Linked DNA regions of Oryza sativa Japonica Group. The main gene of each other region encodes a partner of the protein of the gene in region 3 in a complex. Links are inferred from orthologs where the notes say so. Each region holds a gene or a part of one and is shown on either strand. Other genes may lie near its edges.

Region 1 (4,212 bases), on a different chromosome or scaffold from region 3:
TAGTCATAACAAGGAACAATTCAACAATTTAAGGAGACAAGATTTTGTAATCATACCCCTACTCAAGATGTTACTCTCTCCATTTTATATTATAAGTCGTTTTGACTTTTTTCGGAGTCAAACTTCTGTACGTTTGACTAAGTATATAGAAAAAAAATGGTAACATTTATAATACCAAACTAGTTTTATTAAATGTAACTTTGAATATATTTTTGATAACATGTTTGTTTTGTGTTAAAAATGTTATTATTTTTTCTATCATTTTGGTCAAAATTAAATAAGTTTGACTAGGAAAAAAAAGTCAAAATGATTTATAATATGAAACGGAGGGAGTAGAAAATTAGTGGTAACCAGCAGGTCAACACTGGTTTTTTGAAGCAAGATTGGGAAGCACTTTCTGTATAAAATTGGAAGAAAAATATGCAGTGGTTGACACGACATTGTATTTGAAAATATATGTGCAGTTTGAAGATCTAATATACTGCATCAGTGAAAAAAAAACATTATAAACTTACAACAAAAGTAAGCCAAAAAGCTTCTGCATCAGGGAAGCAATTACCAGACCAACAAACGAAAAACACGCGATCTACACCTCCTTCCCTAGGAATTGCTATCAGCCTCAGTCTCTGCAGCCTCATCTGAAAGTCATACAAAAAGAAGTTCCTGAGAAATGCTCAAAATAAGAGAAAGTTATAATATGCAGCACCAAAATGTAACAGAGAACTGAATGTCAATTAATAATAACTTAGTCCTGTAGCTATGCATAGTATTTACGAAAAGGAAGTGCTTGAGTGATGGAGAAAACATGTGTTTAACTAGGTTTTACCTCTAAAGCAACTTAAACCAGCATATTCACAGCTAACTACTTTATTAAGATGGTTCTAAGGTCTAACAGAACATCTTTGAAGTGAATGATGACAGTGCCAATGGCTGACAATGTTTCAAGTGATAGGTGATAGGGGTAGCTGTGTGGCACAGCAGATTGTGACACTATTATAAGGAGTGTACCAGTATCCCCAGAGTTCTGGTTCAGTGGTGTTCATGGATTCCATGCAGTCTCATTTCTTCTTATTTTTTAGTTTAGTGCTTAGGACTTAATCCACCTTCAGCCGAAAATTTAACCACCATTAGGTGAAGTCATTTTCTATTCGCAAATTGTTGAGTTGCTCATGAGCTCTGAATAAAAACCCTAAGGAGGTGCAAAATAACGAGTAAAATACAGACTCAGTGGGTCTACTGAGAGCTAGCATAGGGGTAGGTGGATCTCTAAGCATGCTTCTAAAATAGACCATTGAATTATGTCATGGACTTATTGGATCTTTCAGGAGGAAAAAAAACCATACGATGTACATTAGCATGGTAAGCATTTTTCCTTTTGCATGCTGGTAAGGATAAGAGAACTATTTCGAAAAAAAAATTAGCTCCATAAGTCTACAAGGCCACAAAGAATTTCTCCATAATAATTAAGATGGTATTCATAAGACAAAACTGGCTACATTTTCTGTTTCTTTGCCACGTTATCTTGTTTTTACCCTTAAAACGCATGTCAGGATCTTTATCAGCATACGTATAGCATCGATCATGATATTTACAACAGAGCATAGCTAAGAGTTAAAAGATAAAAAAAAAAACTACTGTACATGCCATTAAAGCAGAGCATTTTCTCTCCTAACTATCAACTAAAACATGTAAAATAAAGGATCACTGGATAGCATTAGTTACTCAAAGTCATTTCGCACATGCCCACCATAGAAACAATAAAAAGACACCTGGAAATTGTTCATGCATAGCTATGTACCTTGAGCAGCCTCCTCTGCGCTCCCTTCTCCTTCTTGCAACTCCTCTGCTTCCTCCTCACCATCATCCTCGCCATTGGTATCATCCTCATATTCATCAAAAACGGTGGCACCATACCTGGAGTTGAGATAGTTAATGGCGGCCGGGGTGAAGAAGAGCTTGCGGGCATCGAGGATGTCGTATAGGTTGAGAGTCCTGGGGGTTAGCATCTTGAGGGAGCCAATGTTCCTTCCGCTGAGCCGCACATTGTCTGCAAAATCCGTGGCGAAGAACATGGCCTTCTCCTTGGGGTCGAGCCCCCACCGCTGAAGCGCGGCCACGAAGTCCCTGGTCTTGGGACCCGCGGCGAACTCCTCGTCGAACTCCTCCACGACGAATGCATCGTCGGCCACGGCGGCACTGGCGAGCGCGGTGGAGATGGCGAGGCGCTTCTCCTTGCGGTTGATCTTGATGGACCAGTCGCGGGGCTTGGGCCCGAATATGACGCCGCCGCCGGGGCGGAGCGGCGTGCGCATCGACCCGCGCCGCGCCTTCCCCGTCTTCTTCTGCTGGTAGGGCTTCCTGCCGCCTCCCCTGACCTCGCCGCGGGTGAGCGTGGAGGCCGTGCCGCGGCGCTTGTTCTGGCGGTCGGTGATGATGGCGCGGTGCACGACGGCGCGCGCGGTGGAGGGCGGCGCCGACTTGAGGTCGAGGGCGACCTCCCCGACCTTCTCCCCGGTGAAGGAGAGAACCGGGAGGGTGGCCGCCTCGGCGCGAAGGGCGCGGAGGACGGAGATAGCCGCCTTCTGCTTGCCGGCGGCGACGGCGACGCGCGGGGAGGAGGAGGCGGCGGCGGCGGCGGATGGGAGGAAGGAGACCGAGGTGGGGGAGAGGAAGGGCGAGGAGGAAGAGGAGAGCGAGAGGAGGAGAGTCGAGGCCACGGAGGAGGCGGCCATTGCGGCGGCTTCGCTCGCTGCGGTGCGCTGCGTGGGCTGGACGACGGGGAGGCTTTGCCGCTGCAGCTGCGGAGCGGCCGCTTCTCTATCTCCTTATCCACCCCCACCCGACCGGACCGGCCACACTCTCGCGAGTGTCAGCTTAGTCGGTCGCGCCAGACCAGTAAGATACACACACTACTATGTGTTTGGATTTTAGAAGAAGCATCTCTTCATTAAAAAAACTTAGATATTGTTAAAGAAAAACCCTCGAGGCAGTATTAGTCTATTAGATGGTGTTTTTTTTCTAATAAAGATGAAATAAAATAGGAAAGCAAAATGAAAACGGCCCATTAGCTTATGTTTAATTAAGTTTTGATTATTTTAAACTTGAAATTGATTTATTTGATATTTTAAAATATTTTTATGTAAAAAATTCATATGAAACATACCATTTAGCAGTTTAAAAAATGTGTTAGGAAGAATTTGCATCTTAGTAAAGAAGGAGGCTTAGTTTCACCAAAATGAGTTTGAAATAATCAAATTAAATTTCATTTCCTTTTTGTCGGGTCAGATTGCTCATTAGCACTTGTGTATCAGAACAGTTGCCTGAGAACCACATTGACAGATGGGGCGCACCATAGACACAGTTATGCTAAAAATGGACAGGAACTCCAAATTTTCTACTTCTACTTTTGTTCTGAACACTTGCGAAGTTTTCACGATTGCGATCCTCTTCTCGGTTAGCTCTAACAAACAAGCTAAAGAAACTCAAGTAATCTGAACAGATGACTAGCGCTTGCGATTCTCATTGCCAACTTATTTTCTAGTGTTTCAATCTTCCATAACAGTATACTTTACACGAGCAACAGAGATAGCCTACCCAATATATACCATCATTATTGGTTCCTACAAGAATCACAGTGGTAATTGTACTACATCTTTAATCTCCTTTTTTTGGAGAGCCTACAGTCGATCAGAGTCTCACAGATAACTTGATATCTCCTAACAGGGGCGCTTGGCAACTCTGTCCATCGCTTTATGGAAACAATTGTGGTATAAGTAGGGAACTAACTCTTGTACAACCTAGATCATCTTAATGGCTTCGATGGTAACTTCTTAACAAGGCTGGTGTTGCCGGTTACCAATAATCGAGCGCCCTTCACCAGTTCCTCCTTAATCATAAAAAGGAGAGCAGAAGCAAAAACACTTTGTACGATTTTTGTGCTCATTCCTTTATAAAGCCCTGACAAACCTTCATAACGTATCATCTTTGTGATCGCATCAAATGTGCCTGCAAGCAATAAAATTTGCATAGCGTATTTGGTAACAAAGTCAGAGAACAGCAAATATTATTACCAGAAGAGAAGTAAAGACTATCAGAAACAGGATATGGAGCAACATCACTCATTAAATAATAATTCACTCTAAATAATAAAATGAAGTTTAAAGAATAAAGGCCAGCGATGTACCTTTGTAGCGGTGCCTCTTGTCATCATCA
Region 2 (4,239 bases), on a different chromosome or scaffold from region 3:
AAAGGTAACATTTGGCTTAAAAAGGAGGTTCCAGTTATGATAACATTTTAAGACCATAAAACAGTCTATTTTGTTGAAATGCCTTGAGATGACTCTTTACTGCAGATATACATTTTAAACTCTTAGTATGCCTACTCATACAAATTGATGATACTGCTAATTTTTGTTGGTAGCTTTATCTGTAGAAGCACCTGATTGCAAAGTTGAAGAATCAGCCCCTGGAAGTTGGCACAATGCGCATGCATCAATTAAGGGTGGAAAAGGCAATAAGCATGAACTGGAAGAAACCTCTGCTGGGTTTCCTCCTGATGACTCTATTGGTATTTCTGGAATGGAGTCCTCTTCAAGAGACACAGCTAATAAGAAAATCAAATTGTCAAAGGATATTGGTTTGGACCGTCTAACCGCCACAACTGTTCAGGAAGCACCGAAGCGTCCAAGAACAACCTCACTAAAGAAGAATCAAGAGTGCAGCAGACAGAAGAAAAGAAAAATAAGCAAGTGGGATGGTTCCTACTCTGTAATCATTGAATGGTTGAATTACTATTCTGTGGATGAGTCAGATGAAGATGAGGTGCCTTTGATAAATAAAAGAACCGAAAGAAGAAAGCGGCAGAAGTTACTGAAACTTGTTCTTGCTAGGGAATCCAATAGTGGCAGTGAAGGTGCTAGTTCTACATCTTTTGTAGAAAATGGCAGAAATTCTAGCAGTGCTGGCTCTTACCCCCTAAGCCAGGGGGACAATGACAAATCTGAAAATGTGCAAGCTAATCGAGTTGATGTAAGTTCATTGCCAGATCATCCTGTAAGTAGTCATGTAGCAGCAGAGGATCAAGCTGGCCAAGCTGCATCGTCACCATTGAACTCACCAACTAGAGGTATCGTTGTTGACATTTCAGATGGTTGATGGCCAGAGTTCCATTAGTTTCTTTCAGCTGAGGCCTGGACGTACAATTATCCAGACTACAGTTGTAACACTTACTTTTAATTCCTTGCACCTGTCTACTGCTAGACATGCAACGGGACGATCCTGTGAAGCATGTGTCTTGTACATGTCTTCGTTTCTTCCTTTCTCATTTCACCTTTTCTTTTCTTAGCATAGATCAGTTCAGTATACTTAACTCTGTCAGGTTGTGTGACCCATCAGTTTCTCTCCGTACTAGTCTCTTGAAGAACAGCAAAGATCAGGTTTTCTCTTTGGTTGATTGTGTGTGGAAGATCAATCCAAATATGTTCATTTCTTAAGAAGATAAATTCAGTTCTATTCTATTCATAAACTTTTGTAAACCTTCTAAAATCCTTTAATAAACAAGAAGCAAAGTGAGTAATACGAAACCATTCACAAAATAGAGGGAAAAGAGGCCCAAATTCCCAAGGGTTAATTGGATTCATGGCCCATTTATCCAACCGTCTTATCTCCCTCGTGTCCTTCCCCAATTATCCCCTTCTATCCACCCACACCAGCAAGCCGCTCAGGCGCGCTCTCCGCTCCACCGCCATGGCGTCCATCACCCTCCTCTCCCTCGCTCCCGCGGCCACATTGCTCCACCTCCCGGCCTCCACTTCGCTCTCCACCTCCTTCGTCGCCGCTCCAGGCCCCATCTCCGGCCGCCGGTCCGTCGTCCTCCGCGCCCGCCCGCGCCGCTGCGTCACGGTCGTGTGCAGCGCCGCGGCGGCCGAGGCCGCGGAGGCGGAGCCCGCGGAGAAGTTCCGGCTCGACAACCTGGGCCCGCAGAAGGGGTCGCGGCGGCGGCCGAAGCGGAAGGGGCGCGGTATCGCGGCGGGGCAGGGCGCGAGCTGCGGGTTCGGCATGCGTGGACAGAAGTCGCGCTCGGGGCCAGGCGTCCGGCGCGGGTTCGAGGGAGGGCAGATGCCGCTCTACCGCCGCATCCCCAAGCTGCGCGGCATTGCTGGAGGTGAGTCTCTTCGAGCTTCCCGCTTCCCCTCCTCGCCCTCAATCGAAGCCTCACACATTCAAATGCACTGGAAATTGAGTGGGAACACGCTAGCACCTTCCATTTGGAATGCAGAAATGCTGGGATTGAGAAGTGACCCGTTGCAAGTTCTACCTTGCGATTGCAGGAATGCATATTGGCTTGCCGAAGTATGTGCCGTTCAATTTGAGAGACTTGGCGCGTGGCGGGTTCAAGGATGGTGACGAGATATCATTGGAATCCTTGAAATCGAGGGGTTTGATTAATCCGTCTGGCAGGGAGAGAAAGCTTCCTCTGAAGGTACACTATACGACGATTATCCTTCTTTTTTTTAAGTCGGTTCTGTAGATGACCATGTTTTACTGAAAACTGAAATATGAATGCCTTGCATTTGATCTTTGCCAGTGAATTCATCAAGTTCACCAGCAGTCTTGGGTAATCCTTTAGTTGTTGATGTTGTGGATTGAATGGCTGGCCTTTTTTTTTCTTGTAGTTCTCAAATGTTGCTGTGTTGGTCTGTCCTTAGCAGCAATTACCAAGTTGAGTATTCGAAGTCTCAAAGTTGTGTGTCGGGATCAATTTTCTTAGCTCGTGTTGGACAAACACGGTATGATTTGACGAGTGTTTCTATTGGCTACTCAAGGATCTAGAACGTATGAGTTATGATGAACCCACACATGGTGTAGGCCTGCATATGAGCATATCTGTCAGGCATAAACATGAAGTGGTATCAAGATCCCAACAAAACCATGTGCTCTTACATGTACCACTGCATGTCTGCATCACTCCCAACATACCCAAAATATTTACTGTTTGTCTCCACTCTTAGTTGGCGGATTGCTGGAGTAGATGCATTAGTGTGCTACTGGGTTGCCCCTTATAGTGGGTAGTGGTGTGGCGCTTGATCACTGATGTGACAAAGACTTCTCCAAGGGTGGAACTTAATGCACCTTGAATAGCATAATTGTTCAACTTTTATTGTTCTTTCTGGTCCTATTTCATTTGATTGATTTTTTCTATACTCTAGGCTCCTAGCTATGTGGTACATATAAGGTAAAACCCACAGGGCTAAAACAGGTATCAAGACCTAAGTCATAATGTGGGGAGCTATCAACTTTATCCTTATGATAGGCTTTTTCCTTCTTGACATCTGATTCTGATGTTCAGCAGATGGCGTTCCTTTCATCTTTGTTTGAGTACAATGATACTGCAATGTTGCTGTTGTTATTGTATCTTTTATCATGCGGGTAGTATTAGTATGCTAACTTTTGAAAACCTATCTGTAGATTTTAGGAGATGGTGATGTATCAGTCAAGTTGAATATCAAGGCTGGGGCATTCTCTGCTTCAGCCAAGGAGAAGCTCGAGGCAGCTGGTTGTACTTTAAGTCTGGTACCAAAGCGGAAGAAATGGCTACCACAATCTTATCTGAAGAACCAAGCTCGTGCAGAAGAATACTTTAGCAAGAAAAATGGTGGTGCTGGTGAATCTGATGAAGCATCTGCATAGAATTCATATACACTGTACTTCTCCTTTACCCTTTTCTTTAACATATACTTATTTCTCTTACCTTGTTCCAAAAGTTCCACGTTCAACGAATTTTGAATCCGTGCGATATGCAAGCATTTTTTTTTGTGTGTTTCCTGTTTAAATGGAGAAAATTCCTTCTATACCCCTGAAAGTTTAGCCAATCCCTTCTACGCCTCCGAGTTTTGTCCACTCCTTTGTATGCCCCTGAATTTTGGTTTTGATCCCTTTCATACCCATACCGTTAGTTGAATGTTTAATTCTAATGAAAAGGACCTTTTTGCCCTTAGACATGAAGGAAATCTAAAAATTGTAGACTAGCTATATTGTTGGAAGTGTATAATTTTGTTATATAAGACTATCATATTCATGACTTTATTGTACAAGGTATTATTCATGGCAAAGTTTATTTTTACCTAATGACATAAAAACTAATATTTATTTACCTACTAAAAGAGTATATGTAGCATTTGTTTATGGTAGTTCAACATATTTTCTCCTGTTGTATATATTATATAGGAATGCTTTCCAAAACTATGTTTATCATTTAAAAAAATGCTACATGTACTTTTTAAATATATATTAAATTTTTTATGTACATAAAACTTATGAATATGATAATCACACAACAAATTTTATACTTCCAACAATATAGTTTACAAATTTCTACATATTCCTCACATATTGAAGGGTAAAACTGACTTTTATATACCTATTAAACGGTCAATTAACGGCAAGGGTATGGAAGAGATCCAAATCAAAATTCAGAGGTATACAAG
Region 3 (3,660 bases):
TCCACAGATCGAGGGTGAAGAACCTCACTTAGCGCCCCCGGCCGAACCGGCAAAGGGGGGCCTGCGCGGTCTCCCGGTGAGGAGCCCCAAGCTCCGACAGTGTTAGTATGTTGCTTCGTTTTGCATGCGAAGGGGGTTTTCAATCCCTCCAGAAGAACATATGCTAAGTAAAGCAATATTTTGTTATATATAAGTGATCAGGTAGAGCGAAGGGCATAGAAAACAATAAAGATATAGCAAAATGTGAATTGTGAAAATACTAGTGATGGAGCGCAAGATTTGTGTTTTTGAATCTCACTCGCGTAGAAGGCAATGGATTTCTCTCGTTGCTTTCAATTCTTGAACAACGTTATTGGTTCGATAGAATTTGAAGTGTTCAATCACTATTTTGTAGTGAGCTATTCTGAACTGTGTTAGTGCAATGAAGGTCATCGAGAGTGCAAGTGGCTAACCTACAAAAACCCACTTATATACTAAAACAAACCATCTGTACCAAACTCAGTTCCCATTGATATCTTCCCACCTGGTGCACAGGGGCACCGTGCTAAGGTACAATTGATCTAGGTAAAAACACTTGACTTTAAGTAAGGACACTGGATAGCACGTTATCTAAAATAAAACTCGGTAAAGTTATATGGTCTCAATGGCAAAGCTAGCAGCATACTTAAACCTGGGAGACAAGGAACGTTTACTAGTGATCCATAAATTTTCGGTATTGCTAAAAATATGTCGCTACAAATTACGATGGATTTCAGTCGGTTGTTTCAACCGTCAGATGCGGATGCAGAAATCATCGCAGTGTACGCATATCCCTCCGATTCTGTTCTCTTCTGATCTCTTCTGTTGTTTTAATGTTATTTGCTAATTAGGATTACTAATTAGTCTTAAAAACTAAATATCCGTGTCATCACAAATTTATAGTTTTGGGAATTACATCAACTTACACATGTAATTTTGAGAATTGCATATGTAATTTTAGTACTTACATATGTAATTTTGGAATTTACATTGTAAATACACTAAAATTATATATGTAATTTAGGGACTTGCAATGTAAATACATGCCGACTATTTTTTTGGTGAAAAATACGGCGCTATAAATATATATATAGTTACTCCCTAAATTTTTACATGTGCTATCAATGGAGAATAGTAGCAACATCAGCGGCGGAGTCTGTACGGTCGCCCGACCTGCCCAGGAGGTAGCTCCGCCTGTCTAGCCTAACCTGTAATTTATTATGCACCCGTGGTATTTTGCAACTGTTACGGAATCCACCTCCCCGGCAAAGAAAGCGTATTCCTAAAAAGCGCCTCTCTGCAGGCGGGAGGATAAGGGGGCATTAGCCGCAAACCCCAATCCAATCGAATTCAACACGAAAAACAACCAAAGCAGCAAGCGAAGCCGGGACACTGCTGGAGTGAGCAAATCCCCGCTCGAATCCGGGGCACCAAGAATGGCCATGGCGGCCGTGGGCATCGGCGGCGGCGGCGGCGGCGCGCTGGGCCTCCTCGCGCCGCGCCGCCGCGCCGCCTCCTGGAGCGGCGCAGGTGGCGCGGCTGCGGCGGCGGCGCGGCGGCGGCCGCTGGTGGCGGTGGTGCGCGCGTCGTACGAGGCCGGGGTCGGGGTGATGGCGACCAAGGTCGGGATGATGACCTACTTCGACCCGGCCACCGGCAAGCCGGTGCCGGTGACCGTCGTGGGGTTCCGGGAGGGCGGCAACGTGGTGACGCAGGTGAAGACGGCGGCCACCGACGGGTACGACGCCGTGCAGGTGGGGTACCACGGCGTCCGCGAGGAGAAGCTCACCCGCCCGGAGCTCGGCCACCTCGGCAAGGCCGGCGCGCCGCCGCTCCGCCACCTGCAGGAGTTCCGCCTCCAGTCCGTCGACGGGTACGACCCCGGCCAGCCGCTCGACTTCGCCGACATGTTCAAGGAGGGCGACCTCGTCGACATCTCCGGCAAGTCCATCGGCAAGGGGTTCCAAGGTCAGTAAACTTGATTATTTTTTTTTACTCCCTTTTCACAATGTGACTACCATTTCGCCCTGTCTGAATTTGAACAATGCTTTACATTGTGAGGAAGACTTGAGAACAAGCTTGAAATTTTGCTGTATCAAATTTACCATATGCTCACCAATGTTAGTGTACAGAATTGTTCTTGGGAAGAATCATTTAGCCTCTTCTCTTGATTAGCGTCCTAGACTTGCACAATGGCATTGCCAATATGGCAATGTCAATGCTGTTCTTGGAGTTGCAGACCTGTACCATGTCAACACATTCGTTATAGTTCACAATTTATTGCAACCATCAGCATCACTTGTATAATTTTCATGAAGTGAATATAACATCGTAAACCCGTTGCAATTGCGCTCTTGATTTGCTGCGACCAACGATTTGCCAATACCGCAAACATTATCCATTTCATGTATATTCTTCCCAAACAACATAATAAAAAAGACACAAATATTAGAGAAGGACCTAATATCAAATAATTAGAATGGGTGAGGCTTCGAACCCAGGTCGTCTAGCCTACCACCTTGTGGAGCTAGTTGGAAGACCCCTGGGTGTTTCTCCCCAAACAACATAATCGTTTATAGCATTCTCATGAAGTCAAGAGCACCAATATCTCTTTTAGTTCCTGATCATCTAATGGCAATATGGCATAATTGTGCAACTATGCTCTCAATTTGCGACTGACGGTTCTTGGACATCGACACAGGTGGCATCAAGAGGCACAACTTCAAGCGAGGGCTGATGACCCACGGCTCCAAGAGCCACAGAGCTCTGGGATCGATCGGTGCCGGGACGACGCCGGGTCGGGTGTACAAGGGGAAGAAGATGCCCGGGAGGATGGGAGGAACCAAGACCAAGATCAGGAAGCTCAAGATCGTCAAGATCGACAACGACCTGAAAGTTGTCATGATCAAGGGCGCCGTTCCAGGGAAGCCCGGGAACCTCCTCCGCATCGCTCCTGCCAAGATCGTCGGCAAGAACATCCCCAAGAACTAGACTATTTTTCTCATGTGTTTCGTCCTGTTCTGTGAGATTTGTGATCTGTTGTTTACTGAATTACTGTAAATTGGAGATGTTCTTTGCCCATGTCCAGGTTTTGTATACGCGTAACTTTGAATTTCGTAAAGCTAATTTTTTTTCTACTCAATCTTATCGATCTCCCGTTCTCAGTTCACACTCTCTTTGGACTAGAAGCTAACAGAATCTTAATCATCTTGTGCTTGGATGTCAAATTTGCAATCACTGTTTATTCTGTGTTCAGGGAATGGAAACATGTAATGGTAGACGGTAGTGTAACAAACACATCTTGAGAATCAAACTTCACCAAGCGTCAACAATCTGACAGTTTTACCAACTTCTCCAATACTGAATTATTGTAAACTCTCATGTCTGAACAACCGAAGAGTGCAGAGCGCGACATGGCCAACCGCAGCAAGTGCAACAGAGGGAAAATGTTAACTAAGCATCATGTACAAACTACACATCAAGTGCAACAGCACGAAATGTCAATGTAAAGCTTCCAGTCACCATTAACGCTAACTTCTACAATATCTTCAGCAATGACACAGGGACAATAGGTTTCTTGCATCAGTCAATGCGACACATTATTAGGCCATGAAATATTCTCACACAAGTCACCGAAGCTGG
Region 4 (2,700 bases), on a different chromosome or scaffold from region 3:
TCAATTTTGCCAATTCTATTCTTGATCCACTGCGCGTTCAGACAGAAATGATACAAATTAGGTATGTGGTGAGCTGGTGACCAACAGTAAGTTTCAGAAGCTAATTCAGAAGAATTTCCAACTCTAATTAGTGTTATTCTGTTACTAAAAGATGAATTAATCATTTAATTTTGTTCACTTCAAGGAGGTTTGCTCTTAACAAAAAGAGCACAGTTAAGTTCATGATTTTAAAACATCTCATCATACTGCTTTGAACAACTTTGTTGTAAACCTGGATACACTGATTGATGGTACAACTACACAAGCACTAGTAGTTATTGACCATTCTAATTGTGCATTGCCATTGCCCCTCAACCTACTAAACTTTGATCTCTGTAGTCTCTACAGGTAAAATTAAATTATCAAAACACTAGTTGTGGAACAAGCATTCCCTCTAAGTACGCAACGTAATCCTAATAACATCAGAACTCGGTAATCTTATGAAATCAGACCAGTAGGCATGCGTTGTAAGAGGTAAAACTTTTGTGATTCAATTCAAACGTGAGGCAGTAAAAGTACAGGAATTCTACAAGAAATGAGTGAGATGAGAGAAACGAAGCCACAAAACCATCTCTCAACAGCCATCAGGCGGCGCCGACCTCCTGCTCGAGCTTGCGCACGTACGCCGAGAGCACGGAGACGACGTCCCTGGCCGGCGCCTGCAGCGTGGTGACGACGGAGGTCGCGGGCCCCTGCAGCGAGCCGAGCAGCTTGGCGTACACCTCGGCGCGGCTGGGCATTGTCTCGAGCGCCTTGAAGTCCCCGGGGGCGTAGAACTTGCCCTCGAACACCGCGCCGACGAAGTCGTTGGTCTCCTCGAGGCGCTCCTCCTTCTGGAAGGCGCGGTAGGGCTTGAGCGCGGCGGGGACCTCCTCGGTGTGGACGAACAGCCACGCGTTCATCCCCTTCATGCACGGCTTGAGCGCCTCCCACGGCGTGCCCTCGATGGCCTTCCCCACCAGCGTGTTCTTCGCCACCAGCAGCCGGCAGGTCTCCGGGAGGGTGTCGCGGATGCCCTGCAGCTGCTTCACCGTGAGGCCCTCGTAGCGGATCCCGGCGAGGAGGTAGCAGCCCTCCAGCTGCTCGCGGACGGCGGCCACCGTGTCCTCCTTGCGGCCTCGGGTGATGGCCGCGCTGATGGTGGAGCGGCGGAGCGGGCGGGGGCGGGGGCGGGGTGCGAGGGTCTGGAACGCCGGGAGGGGCTTCGCGGTGGGGAGGGTGGTGCGGAGGAAGGAGGAGGTCTCCATCTTCGGAGGCCGGGAGCTATGGCGGGTTGGGAGAAAGAGTGGAGTGGGAGAGCTTATCTGTGGGGAAGATGAGGCGGGGGGCTCACTGGATTATGTGGGACCGTATCGTCAGTGCCTGAGAAGATGGTGAACTCAGCTCGGTCAGCTGCACAGAAAGAAGCTTCCGTGGAGATTGACCTTTGCTTGAGGATTTATAGCCGTTCGATCTTGATCCATGAGCGGTTGAAAATAAGATTAAGAGTTCCAAATAAAAAAAAATAGAGGCATAGAGCAAACGCGTATGTGTGGTATTCATAGACGTCAATTTAAACCATAGTGAGTGAAGTCGTGTACCAACAACTCCAATCTTCACTGCCTTGTTCAACACAGCATACATCACTATTGTTTTCTTGAGTTCAAAAACTCTTGATATGTACAATAAAACATAACATACATCAGTGTACTGAATTATTCAACACAATAGATATCACTATATAAGAAAATGACAGCGATTAGGCGCCCGATCAGCGGTAGAAAAATCGGGCGCTCGCCGCCTCCCGCACGCTCCCACCCCTTATGCGTTGTCCCCCCCCCCACGTGCCCCACCACACGCGTCGTTATAACAAATCACCCGCACATTAAGGAAATACTTTATTAAAGGAATCCGTTTCATTTTTTTTTCCACCAACAATGTTTTAGCAAGTGTACTCGTGATGTTTCACTATGTATGATCAAATGTTGCAATGATTTGAAACATCCTTTGCTATTTGCTGAAATATTGTTTTTATATAGGATGAAACAATGCCTGATTTTTTTTTGGAAACTGTTGTTTCATATGTTGTAACAAAATATTTCACGATGTGATTTGGTTGTGTTTCAGCTTTTTTAAAAATATTGAAACATTTTCGATCTATTTAGTGAAACAATGCCTGATTTTTGTAAAAAATCGAGCGCCCGATTTGTAGATGCATCACTATATATATATATATATATATATATATATATATATATATATATATATATATATATATATATATATATATATATATATATATATATATATATATAATTCAAACTTTTTTTTACAGGTAAGAAAACCATGCGAATCTCTTGTACGACGATCAAAATGGATATAAACATTGCAAGGATGTCAGGTGGAAAGGATATAAACTGCGACGATCAAGCAACAGCAGCTGCTCTGATGCTGTAAACACGGAGTTGTTCCGGACTCAGCATGCTCAACGCAATTTCACAGAAAACCAAACATCCGATGCTTACCATTCTCTCCATAACTCGTGTGCACTTCAAGCCATCCCTAACATGAAATGATGGTTTTGATAATGGAAGTGTATAGTTCATATAATAATGTCATTGGTAGTACTGAAATCCAAGAAATAAGATGCAGGGAAACAAGAACGTCTGGTACAGGGTGAAA
Region 5 (4,048 bases), on a different chromosome or scaffold from region 3:
CCCTGGAGACACGCATTGTTGATGCTCTCAGAACCCATGAATTGCATAAGATTAAGACATTCAGTCCAATTTCTTCCAATATTCTTTCTAAAAGAGATCTTGTAAAGTTTGCATGTGACAAAAAAAAAAGAACTACTACATAACACTATACTGTTACAACAGAATACCTTATGGTGCTAACATCAGCACAGGATCGTAGGTATCATATTTGTATGTGCACTGGATCTGGTACTACCAGACACGATATCCATTAATACCACATTATCAGACTCTCGTATTGGTTCCTATTTCCTTCGTCCCATAAAAAATCAATTTCTAGGAATGAATCCGGACAACATTCTTAGGACATTCACAGTGCGCTACATATTTTTGCCGTTCCTCATATGCCACGTAGACGAAGAACCTGTTAAGCTTCATCCTCTACAATGCAAGTACTAGTAGTGGGTCCCACCGGTACAGTTTTTTCAATTTTCATCTCTCAATCTCTCTCTCTCCTCTGTTTCTTTTCTCATCCGAAATCTTTCATCCCCCAATCTCTCACTCTATTTCTTTTCTCACCAGGGCATCCGAGGCGCTGGGGCTGAGCGGCGGCGGCTGTCAGGGCAGCCCGAGCTGCGACGGTGCCGGACGGCGAGCTCCCATCCTCATCATTGGATACGGTGGCGGTCGCAGCCTCTTCGTCGATGGCGCCTTCCTCTCTCTCTCTCCCCGTGGCTGTGGCGACAATGCGCTCGCTGTCGACGCTGCGCGAAGCCACTCGTGTGAGGCTCCGCCCTCCACAACACGACAACTCACCTTTCTCCCTGCTTTCTTCGTTTGAAGAACGAGTATCCATGTTTGGGTACGAGAACCTTATTTGGCTCCGCGTACTGTCAATGCGGCGCCGAATATTCAGTTCTTGGCTATGGGGCTGAACGTCACATCCTTCTACTGTGAACACTCTTAGAAGTTGTATCTTTTGGGATAGAGAGTGTAGGTACTCTGATGGTACGGCCAGACATTTCTGATACTCTCGCAACTAACAGATTATGGGTAATGGTTCGTAGTATTTTTAAAAAGTAAATAGCACTACATTATCGGTGGTTCTTTTGGACCGTACCCAGTAACGGCGAAATCGTGAGCTTTTGGGCCCAATCCGACGCCCGCGGCGCCGCAGCGCACCACCCTCCCCCAACCGTCTCCCCCGCGCGCGCGGGCACACACGGCTCGGCTAATCCAAAATAGCCCAAATCGCACGAGTCCTCCCCCGTCCCCCGCGACGCGCGAGCGAGAGAGAGCCCTATCCGCTGCGCGCTTCGCCCGCTCGCCTCGCCCTCGCCTCACCGGCTATTATAACACTCTCGCGCTGCCACTTCGCCTTTTCCTCCCCTTTCTATCCTCCACCTCGGCTTATCTCCTCCCCCCTCCCCACCACCACCACCACCACCATGGCCACAGCCGCTTCCCTCTCCGCCACCGCCTCCTCCCTCCTCGCCCCCGCCCCCGCCACCACCGGCGCCGCGGCGGCGCAGTGCTGCTCCTCCTCGTCCACCGCGCTGTTCCCCACCCCCGTCCCGTCGCTGCGCGCCTACTACCCGCGCCTGCTCCTCGCGTTCCGCCGCCCCGCCGTCGCCGCCGTCGCAGACCCGCAGGGCGCCGTGCTCGAGGAGGAGCAGGGGGAGCAGCAGGACGAGGGGCAGGAGCAGTACGACGACGACGACTACGACGACGGGTACGAGGGCGGACGCGGCCCCGCGTTCACGCCCCCCACCCGCCCGCGCACCGGCAAGGCCGCCCTTCCGCTCAAGCGCGACCGCGTATGCCCCCCCCGAATCCAGCCTCCCCCCCGCGTGTTCATCCATTCGTGTTGATTTTTGGATTGACGCTGACGCCGCGTTCGCCTTTTTTTTGATGGGTTTGCAGACGAGGTCGAAGCGATTCCTGGAGATACAGAAGCTGAGGGAGAGCAAGAAGGAGCACGACGTGCCCACGGCCATCTCGCTGGTGAAGCAGATGGCCAGCGCCCGATTCGTCGAGTCCGCTGAGGCGCACTTCCGCATGAACCTCGACCCCAAGTACAACGACCAGCAGCTCCGCGCCACGGTTATTGCTCTTTCTCTCTGCTGTTGCCATTGTTACGTACGTTCTGTTCTGGCTTGTGTTTTATCAATCGTTTTTGATGATATTGGATCGGTTTTGGTGATGATGTGCAGGTTAATTTGCCCAAGGGGACGGGCCAGTCGGTGAAGATTGCGGTCCTCACACAAGGTGGGTTGCAATTACATTTTGGAGATTGTTATCGCAGCACCAATTCCAATTGCAATCTTTGGTGCATGGATTGATTAGGTCACTGCTAGTTGTGTCTTTTAGGTGTGGTTTGCCTGCTTGATCATGTGGTTATTTACGGTTCATTAAATTGGAAGCACGCTGTTATATAGTGAATTGAAATGGAAGTATGTGAATGCGCGCTAGTCACTAAAGTGGTGCACTAATCACTAGCACTATGTAATGGCTATTGTCAAATATCCTTGCAGGTGAGAAGATAGATCAAGCAAGAGCTGCAGGAGCTGATATTGTCGGTGGAGATGACCTGATTGACCAAATAAAAGGAGGATTTATGGAATTTGACAAGCTGATTGCATCACCTGATATGATGCCTAAGGTATGGCATTAGCTGCATAACTCATGTCTAAAACAATTCCAAGCATTATGAAGACTTGTCTTTTTGCATGTCTCCGACATAGTTTATCCCACATCCAAATGAACACGTTATGTTTCAGTGTTATTAGGAACCACAAAACCAGGCAACATTTAGTTGTATTGATCAGATATTGTTTTCTTATCATTACCTGCCATATCTGATCCATCCCTTCATATTACAAGTGTCTAGCATTTACGATTATGATTTGAGCCATAATGGAGATATGCAAATTTGGTTCACTCAGAGAAAATAGATTCGATAAGCAAATAAGGTTCTACTGTTTTGAATTGGTACATTCTTCGGAAGTTTGGATGCAGTTCTGCAATAAGTGTTGAGCTCCATGCAAGACCTGCATGGAAGTTTTAAAGGTGTGCTACTAGCTCGGCATATTATGTTGTTGATTTTGGTCTTTTGCTTCACAGGTCGCCGGATTGGGAAAGATTCTAGGACCGAGAGGACTTATGCCTAACCCCAAAGCTGGGACTGTTTCTCCAAACATAACTCAGGTACAATGGAAATTCTACAGATTACTATATGTATTGACACTGTTGCTTGTGGTTTTCTCTCCCATTTGCTTGGTTATTGTGACCCTGAGTGAAAGGTGGGTAACTGTCCATTTACCTTCTTTGATCCTTGGTGAACTTCTGTTTTATCCTCGTTCAATGCAATAGGCAGAACTCCTGCCCTTTTGTTCAAAGAAGTTGTCCATTTACGTCATCTCAGTACTTACCTCATAGATGCACTTCTGGGAGAAAACCTACTGATATATTGCTACCTTGTTTAGTAGTCTTCATTGTGTGTGCAATATATTTCAGTGGTTCGATTTTCAGACATGTTGATAGACATTTTTTTAACCTTGTTATTCGTAGATAGAAGGTTTGAAATTTTGTTTGTGCCAACTGAATTTGAGGATATGCATGGATGCATAGCTCCATCGTTCGTTTGTTGGCTTATCAACGGCAGCCAAAATCTGGATTTTGAAACTTAATTTAGAATTGATTTTGAGGGGTTTTTTTTATTGTGCTTTATTCTCCAGTGCTGGCTTTTGAATCGCTAAGAACATAGATATAGACGTTTTACTCAAAAGTTATTTTTGGTTGCTTCGTCATTTTTCCACGGCTTATCAGCCATAGAGCAAATGATCGTGTAATGACTGATGATGATGGTAATCTGCTACTTAGCCTGCATAGTGCCTCCGTAACAGTTATGTAAAGCATCACAACAAATCTGCAAAATAGAGAAAACAGGTAAAGTAGGCTACTTGACTGTTAGGAACAACCATCATTTATAACGGTTAACTGAAGGACAGGAGTGGGAGCATTTGTGAAAAATCTAGCCCTTTAGGTAATGAACTGGGCTATATTGTGC
Region 6 (3,363 bases), on a different chromosome or scaffold from region 3:
GAAGAATAATTTAGATAGATATTTGGAAGCTCATTTGGACGGTGGAGCACACAGGTATTAGAAATGATGTGCTGGGGCTGAATGGCTGATGCTTTTGCTAGTACTGCTGGTAATGATATATATTAATCAGTACCATTCTGAATTTATTAGTCTGGTTGAGTCGTGCTGCTGACAGTGAGGTGTTCACTGATAAAATGTGTACTTTCTTTTATATTCTTTATTTGCCGACATTCTGTATCTCTTGTTCACGAGATGTGCCGGATGTAAATATGAAAGTGATGCATGGCTGATTACTTTTTGACCGTGAAGAAGAATTAATGAAGCTTATGCACACTAGGCGGTTCCTCCATACTGCTGAATGGCTGTTCATTAAGGCCCTGACAAGTGACAAGGTCACAGACTGACAGTTACTTCTTGAGGTCAAGGAGGTTAATGTAGTTTATCAGGATTAGGTTGCAAACTGACAAGGAAGATATTGTCCGTTGTGTTTCTACTCTTGGTGTCAAGTCGATCCTCACAGGATCACGGTCGTGGCATTGCTGGTCCTTGGTAGAACAAGGTAGGGCAAGCGCAATGTTGTGATCTGGGACCTTTCAAATCAGATCCTAGTGATTGTCCCCTGGTTATAAAGAACTGCATGTTACGGTTACTGCATGATTAGTTAGGCATAAGCATGTGACGAGGATCCTCGTCGTGATATTCCGTCCATTTTTCAATGTTGATCAAGCGTGGCAGATCTCCTGCTGATCTGCCAGCAACTGTTGCTAGGTTCAGAGTTTGCTTGATCTTGTTTAAGCTCTTCATCGGCGTTTTTTATGTTTGAAGTCATCGTTTAATGGCATACTACTACTATACTAGTGATGTCCTGTAGTGCATTAGAAAATACAGAATGGGCCACATACTCAAACACTGTTACCGGTTGACCAAAACAAGGCATATATCGAAATTCACACACTGCAGACTTGCAGTTGTTGACTCATGTAACTTTACCCTTCTCTTAGGCCGTGTTTAGTTCACCCCCAACTCAACGGTTTTGATGGGCCTAAGGCCCAAATCAACGGTTTTGATGGGCCTAAGGCCTGAAACCATGTCGAACAGTTCGATGGGCCGAACCATGACGAGAAAGCCCACCTGCGACACTGGACAGCAACGGCAGCCAGCCACAGCCAACTCGCCTTATCCCGTAATCCATCCATGGCATAAAGCTCCCTCCTCAGCTCCCACCTCCGTCTCCGCGCACGCTCCAATGGCGGCCACGGCTGTGACCCTGCCGTCCTCGCCGGCCCCCTTCCCCGTCACCACCACCGCCTCCTCCTCCCGTAACGTCCGCCTCCTCCTCCGCTCCCCGCCTCCTCGCCGAGCCCTCCGCGTCGCCGCCTCCGCCGCGGCCGACGCGCCACCCAAGCCGGCGCCGCCGCCGACCTCGCCTTCGGGCATCGTCCTCGTCGACCCCACCGAGGCACAGAAGGTGCACCGCCTCAAGGCTGTATACGACCAGAAGGTGGTCCCCCTCATCACCGAGGAGTTCGGCTACACCAATGTCCACCAGGTGTTCGACCTCTGTCTCCCTTCTCGCAATTATAGGATAGACATGGCCATTTCTTTGCGGAACTCGGGAAATTCGATTGTTGTTCAATAATTGAGCTTAGAGGAGTGTGTTTTGGATTCTCGATTTTATTCAGGTGCCCAAGGTTGAGAAGATTGTAGTGAATTGCGGGTTGGGGGCTGAAGCCGGTAACTCCAAGGGGCTCGAATCCGCCATGAAGGACCTCGCCATGATCACCGGCCAGTGGCCCGTCAAGACGAAGGCCAAGAAGTCCGTCGCCAGTTTCAAGATCCGCGAGGGGAACACCATTGGTATTGCCGTTACGCTCCGCGGCAGGGTGAGTCCTCTGTACCTCTGGCTACTTGCGATGCAGACATTGACAAATTGGGGACTGCAATGTTGTATCAATTTGGGATTTGCATGACAGTATAATAGCCTAAAGTATGTGTGAGAATTGCAATTACTCCATCCAGTTCCAAATTATTGTCACCGTTGGCCGTCAGTATTTTACATTGACCACAAATTTTAAATGGTTGGACGAACGAAAGTTTAATACCTATCTATGTGGAGTAACAACCTTTAATAATATGGCATATTTTTAGGTATATGCATTTTATTTTCTAAAAAATATAAGTGATCAAAGTTCAAATATGAATAGTATCCAGTGACAAGTATTTGGGAACCTAGGGAATATGTTTGATCGATGAGCTTATTTTGGCTTGCTGCAGGTAATGTTCAACTTCCTGGATAGGCTCATCAACCTTGGGCTTCCTAGGACCATGGACTTCCTTGGTGTCAACCCCAACAGCTTTGATGGCCATGGCAACTTCACCATAGGCCTTCGTGATCAGGGCGTGTTCCCGGAGATCCCGTACGAGGTCGGTGGGAAGAAGAATGGAATGGACGTCTGCATCGTCACCACCGCGAAGACCGACAACGAGGCTCTCAGGCTGCTCACCCTCCTTGGCATGCCGTTCGCGGAGCACATCAAGTCCTCCGTGGTGATCCGGAAGAAGAGGTTGAAGCGCCACCACTTCATGAGCAAGGGCAGGGGAAGACGGTGATTGCAAACCGCTGCCTAGGCACGTTGAGCTTTGCTTCTCACTTTGTCAATTGTCATTGTTTTTGCAAAGTTTCGTTTAGAAGTTTGATGATTTTGTTATCTTGTCACGTGCTGTATTTACTGTCAGAAGACAAAATGAAAAGGCTTTGCTTTGGTCAGGTCATTCGCAGATGAGCACTCATAAATGAATTGGGTGTAAAGAGATTATCCGGCAGCATTTTCAAACTGCTTAACTTTACTCACTAAACCACATCATATATATCTCTTTGGTCCCAAGCATCTCATAGCCCAGGCCATTACCCACACCATACTATCATCCTATATCAGTATTTCAGTAGCTACACGTTGGCAATTCAGGCGGACCGATGACGAGCTCTTCTTCAGGGAAGGCGCATGGCTTGCCCGCCGCCCCGAGCTCCGGGCACGGCACCGGCGAGACGTCGGAGGCGACACCCTTGACATCGGTGCAGTTCCATTGCAGCTTCTTGGCGTCCGGCGCGAGCTGCGCGGTGACGTTGGACATGCAGATGCCAGTGTAGGGGTCGTTGGGAATCCCCTCCATCCTGCCGGCCATGGTGACGTTCTCCGCGAACACGTCGCTGTAGTTGATGCCGGTGACCTCCGGCAGAGCGTTGGGGTCGGAGGAGTTGTCCGGGTGCTGGCCGTAGTTGCCGGTCATCCAGAACACCCACTTCATGGTGTGGAGGCTGAGGCCGCGGACGAACACGTCCTTGACGTAGCCGCCGCGCCCCAC
Region 7 (3,994 bases), on a different chromosome or scaffold from region 3:
TTACCATATTATATCAAAGTTTTTTCTTCATCGGGACTTTTTAAATATTTGCAATGATTTTCATGGCTTTTACAGATCTGAGACAGATTTGTCTTCAATTTAACAGAATTTTACACAAATTTGACAGCATATTGTCCAACAGCAAAGCATATTGTCCAACAGCAAATCAGATCCAAATCCAACAATAAATTCGTATCCAAATCCATCAACAAATCCAACCACAAGTTATCCTCCGTCTCTCGTTCCACACGACGCACGACGGCAGCCGGCGGCGCCGCCCCTCCGCGCGGCAACAGCCGGCGCTGCTGCCCCTCCTCCACCCTCCGTGCGGCAGCAGCCCCGCCGCCGCTCAATCTCTCCGCTTCGAGCACGGCAGCCGCCGCCGCCGCCGCTCCCTCCTCCTGCGCGCCGACGCCGCTACTCCTTCCCTCCTCGCGCGGCCGCCGCCGCCGCTCGCCGCTCCCTCTCCTTCCTCGCGCGGCCGCCACTCCCTCTCCCTCCTCGCGCGGCCAACGCCGCCGCCGCTCCCTCTCCTTCCTCGCGCGGCCGCCACTCCCTCTCCCTCTACGCGCGGCCAACGCCGCCACCGCCGCCGCTCCCTCTCCCTCCTCGCGCGGCCGCCGCTACCGCTCCCTCTACGCGCGGCCAACGCCGCCGCCGCCGCCGCCGCTCCCTCTCCCTCCTCGCGCGGCCGCCGCCACCGCTCCCTCGATGCGCCGCCAACGCCGCCGCCGCCTCTCCCTCCAGCCCGGTCGGCGGCAGCTCTCCCCGTCACCGGCGAGGTGGGGATTGGGACGAAGAGCTGGGGAATGGAATGGGAATCCTAGGGTTAATTTGTAACACGGGGGTATTTTGGTCACTTTAGGGTAGTATTTTTTTTTTCTTTTTTCTAAGTGATGTTCTACCGGTGAAAGCAAAACAGGTCAAATGGAAACTTCAATTTCAAATAACAGGGTCAAATAAACAAACCTAAAAAAATAAGATCAATTTAGTAGTTGGCCTTTAAAATAGGGTTAAATAAGCAATTATCCCATTTAACATATCGGAATTTCTACGCGTTTCTCTAGCTTTGATGCATCTGTGGGCTGCAAAGCCCAGCTAAGCAAAAGGCCCATCTCTTCCTCTTCCCCTTCTGGCTCCCTCTCCCCCCCTATCCCCTTCTTATCCGCTCTGCTCTCTCCACCTCGCCTCCCCGAAACGAAATGGCAGTGGCGTTCCACTGAACCAGGCCAAGCCAGACGGACAAGACTTCGCCGCAGCCGCGTCCTCCTCACCGCGCCGCCGTCGCAATGGCTACGGCCATCGCAGCCTCCGCGTTCCTCTCCTCCGCCTTCGCCAGGGACAGGCCGCTCCCCCGCCAGCGGCGCGCGGCGAGGCCCGCGACCCGCCGCGCCGCCGCGGGGGGCCTGTCGGTGCGGTGCGAGCAGAGCGAGAAGCAGAAGAGGCAGCCGCTCTCCGCGCTCGTCCCCCGCGAGCAGCGATTCATGTTCGAAGGCGACGAGCTCTGCGGCCCCGTACTAACCCTCACCTCTCTTTCTCTCTCCCGTATACATTCTTCTCTTTCTCAGTTCAGAAAATGAATAGTAATGCTACATTCCTTGGATAAAGGGAAATTTTACCGTGATTTAGGATTGCCGCTTATTTAGGAAAGCTCAAGATTAGTCCCATTCATTTCTAAATCCGTAAGTCACTTCATCTTGCTCTATTGGGTCAAATCCTTTCTTTACATGAATAATGTTAGGGAAAATACACAATGTTTTTACATGTTACTATACCGTATAGACCACCATCTTATTTTATTTAAAGTTATCTAGTTGTAATTTATTACGAAAGAGGATTCCATAAAATGAACTGAAAATAACATGGAGGGAACGTTGGTCTTTCTGAATTGGTCGCTAACATTGTGTTGTATTACTCAACAGTGTTCGCACCTACATGACTACCATATCTTTTTATCTGTGGATGTTTAGGTTTGTGAAGTTAGAATTCAGTACGGATACCATTCTTGTGTTCTTTCTCTCTTTTCTGTGCAACCTGTTCTGTGTAGTGATCGGACCAAGGAATTTAATTTGCAGGACATATGGAACACAACATGGTACCCTAAGGCTGCAGATCATGTAACTACTGAGAAGACATGGTATGTTGTTGATGCAACAGACAAGATTCTAGGTAGGCTTGCATCCACCATTGCAGTACACATCAGAGGAAAGAATGAGGCCACATACACTCCAAGTGTGGACATGGGGGCTTTTGTTGTTGTGGTATGTATGTTTCTTGAAATTAATTTATAAAGTTAAATAGTGCACACAATAAGATCCTCTGTAGTCCCACAAAAGGAAAAGAGGTTTAGCAGCACATACAAATAAGCACCAAAAGGTATCTGGAAGCTGAGGTCCACCTGAAGGCATTTTGAAGCTGATTTCATGTATATATATTTATGTTACTGTGTGCTTTTAATACTAATGCATCTCTGAAGAGTAATTGCTACGCATATACTATTGTAAGTTCCTGAACTACCATGCTGAACTCTATGTTCACATAGGTTAATGCAGAGAAGGTTGCTGTTTCTGGCAAAAAGCGGTCACAGAAGCTCTACAGGAGGCACTCTGGACGGCCTGGTGGAATGAAAGAAGAAACTTTTGATCAGCTTCAGAAAAGGATTCCGGAGAGAATTATTGAACATGCAGTGCGTGGCATGCTTCCTAAGGGCAGAGTAAGACATCATCTCTTAGAGCTCTTATCTAGTCAGTTTCATCAAGTCTTTTTGACCTTAAGTCAGCCTACCTGGGTATACATATGCTCTTATCCTTATTTTTGGTCAATTTCTAATACATATCTGAAAATGGGTATCCTCGTTCTGTTCCATTATACTTCATTATTGTGTATAATTCCCCAACTTTATATACCCTGTTCATGGAAATATTCGCTCTAATTGAATGCCGAAACGGCGTGGGCTAACGAAGTACTAGATGTATTCTCCCAAAACTCCTATGTTGCCTGTAAGACATCTTATGATTGCCTAAAGCCTTTTACTTATGCCTAAGTTCATTTATAAAAAAAAAAAACGTTTACTATGTCAACCTCTCAAGTTCTCATATGTTAGTGACACTGACACATGTAATCCGACCAACTACAGCGGTTGTACGTGCTCTATGTAGCCTTCTCAACATTTTGAACATTTTGCAGCTGGGAAGAAGACTGTTTACCCACCTCAAGGTGTACAAGGGAGCAGAACATCCCCATGAGGCTCAAAAACCTGTTCCACTGCCTATCAAGGATAAAAGAATACAGAAGTCTGAGAAGTAGATAATTCCTGTGGAGACTAAGAAAGACACAACAATCTCACGTAAATTCCTCCCCTCGAGATTTTGTCCAATCTTTGGAATGTGATGCATCTGTCTGTTTGGGGAATGGAGTGTAAAATTTTTTGTAATTTACTTCCTCCAAAAGTTTGTGTTTCTAAGTCATAGTTCTTGTTGATTACATATCATGTACCTAATACCGTACGATTTTAAGCAATCCGATATTTCCATATCCAATTGAGTAGTGCAATTTTGACCTGAGATGAGCTTGATGTGTCATTGTTTGGGGGCAAAAGTGTTCTCTTTTTTCAATGGGCATCAGGTGTTTCTAAATTCTCTTAATAGTTGATGTAGATCTGTTAATTAATTGCACGTCCGTGTTTATCTTCCATATAACGAAAAAGTTGACAGTACCAATCGTGTGCTCAAGTAACACCTATTGTACCATGTACTCATTCTGTAAAAAAAAAGCCAATTTAGATGAAGATCTGATACCACCTAAAAATAATGATTAGGAGGTTATCCAGATTTATATTAGGTGGTATCAAATTTTCATCTACGGGGTTGTTTAGATCCAGAGGTGTAAAGTTTCGACGTATCACATCGGATATTATATAGAGTGTCGCATAGGGTGTTCGGTTACTAATAAAAAAAACTAATTACAGAATCCGTCAGTAAATCGTGAGATAAAT

Evidence for each region.
Region 1: large ribosomal subunit protein uL3c (region 3) and large ribosomal subunit protein uL4c share a complex: the UniProt entries of both Arabidopsis thaliana proteins name them as parts of the 50S ribosomal subunit. The link is inferred for Oryza sativa Japonica Group from reciprocal best matches to the Arabidopsis thaliana genes AT2G43030 and RPL4.
Region 2: large ribosomal subunit protein uL3c (region 3) and large ribosomal subunit protein uL15c share a complex: the UniProt entries of both Arabidopsis thaliana proteins name them as parts of the 50S ribosomal subunit. The link is inferred for Oryza sativa Japonica Group from reciprocal best matches to the Arabidopsis thaliana genes AT2G43030 and RPL15.
Region 4: large ribosomal subunit protein uL3c (region 3) and large ribosomal subunit protein uL10c share a complex: the UniProt entries of both Arabidopsis thaliana proteins name them as parts of the 50S ribosomal subunit. The link is inferred for Oryza sativa Japonica Group from reciprocal best matches to the Arabidopsis thaliana genes AT2G43030 and EMB3136.
Region 5: large ribosomal subunit protein uL3c (region 3) and large ribosomal subunit protein uL1c share a complex: the UniProt entries of both Arabidopsis thaliana proteins name them as parts of the 50S ribosomal subunit. The link is inferred for Oryza sativa Japonica Group from reciprocal best matches to the Arabidopsis thaliana genes AT2G43030 and EMB3126.
Region 6: large ribosomal subunit protein uL3c (region 3) and large ribosomal subunit protein uL5c share a complex: the UniProt entries of both Arabidopsis thaliana proteins name them as parts of the 50S ribosomal subunit. The link is inferred for Oryza sativa Japonica Group from reciprocal best matches to the Arabidopsis thaliana genes AT2G43030 and AT4G01310.
Region 7: large ribosomal subunit protein uL3c (region 3) and large ribosomal subunit protein uL13c share a complex: the UniProt entries of both Arabidopsis thaliana proteins name them as parts of the 50S ribosomal subunit. The link is inferred for Oryza sativa Japonica Group from reciprocal best matches to the Arabidopsis thaliana genes AT2G43030 and emb1473.

The regions. Positions count from the first base shown.
Region 1 is NC_089037.1:8,802,385-8,806,596, reverse strand, and holds large ribosomal subunit protein uL4c, read right to left. Parts: upstream 2,801-4,212; 5' UTR 2,733-2,800; coding exon 1,799-2,732; intron 639-1,798; coding exon 601-638; 3' UTR 384-600; downstream 1-383. Other genes in the region: peroxisomal nicotinamide adenine dinucleotide carrier, read right to left, coding at 3,803-4,005, 4,184-4,212. UniProt on the Arabidopsis thaliana protein: This protein binds directly and specifically to 23S rRNA. May play a role in plastid transcriptional regulation.
Region 2 is NC_089037.1:6,341,527-6,345,765, forward strand, and holds the start of large ribosomal subunit protein uL15c, read left to right. Parts: upstream 1-1,439; 5' UTR 1,440-1,498; coding exon 1,499-1,916; intron 1,917-2,082; coding exon 2,083-2,234; intron 2,235-3,220; coding exon 3,221-3,442; 3' UTR 3,443-3,456; exon of another isoform or gene 3,457-3,558; intron 3,559-4,198; exon of another isoform or gene 4,199-4,239. Other genes in the region: uncharacterized protein, read left to right, coding at 1-4, 174-907.
Region 3 is NC_089036.1:1,980,082-1,983,741, reverse strand, and holds large ribosomal subunit protein uL3c, read left to right. Parts: upstream 1-1,360; 5' UTR 1,361-1,454; coding exon 1,455-1,986; intron 1,987-2,719; coding exon 2,720-3,009; 3' UTR 3,010-3,160; downstream 3,161-3,660. UniProt on the Arabidopsis thaliana protein: One of the primary rRNA binding proteins, it binds directly near the 3'-end of the 23S rRNA, where it nucleates assembly of the 50S subunit.
Region 4 is NC_089037.1:9,831,879-9,834,578, forward strand, and holds large ribosomal subunit protein uL10c, read right to left. Parts: upstream 1,348-2,700; 5' UTR 1,287-1,347; coding exon 624-1,286; 3' UTR 501-623; downstream 1-500. UniProt on the Arabidopsis thaliana protein: This protein binds directly to 23S ribosomal RNA.
Region 5 is NC_089039.1:18,889,730-18,893,777, forward strand, and holds the start of large ribosomal subunit protein uL1c, read left to right. Parts: upstream 1-1,248; 5' UTR 1,249-1,427; coding exon 1,428-1,796; intron 1,797-1,902; coding exon 1,903-2,082; intron 2,083-2,192; coding exon 2,193-2,247; intron 2,248-2,513; coding exon 2,514-2,641; intron 2,642-3,102; coding exon 3,103-3,186; intron 3,187-4,048. UniProt on the Arabidopsis thaliana protein: This protein binds directly to 23S ribosomal RNA.
Region 6 is NC_089037.1:1,440,999-1,444,361, reverse strand, and holds large ribosomal subunit protein uL5c, read left to right. Parts: upstream 1-1,178; 5' UTR 1,179-1,246; coding exon 1,247-1,549; intron 1,550-1,682; coding exon 1,683-1,883; intron 1,884-2,274; coding exon 2,275-2,610; 3' UTR 2,611-2,863; downstream 2,864-3,363. Other genes in the region: probable polygalacturonase, read right to left, coding at 2,941-3,363. UniProt on the Arabidopsis thaliana protein: Binds 5S rRNA, forms part of the central protuberance of the 50S subunit.
Region 7 is NC_089035.1:31,965,951-31,969,944, forward strand, and holds large ribosomal subunit protein uL13c, read left to right. Parts: upstream 1-1,194; 5' UTR 1,195-1,289; coding exon 1,290-1,514; intron 1,515-2,075; coding exon 2,076-2,261; intron 2,262-2,542; coding exon 2,543-2,713; intron 2,714-3,186; coding exon 3,187-3,306; 3' UTR 3,307-3,539; downstream 3,540-3,994.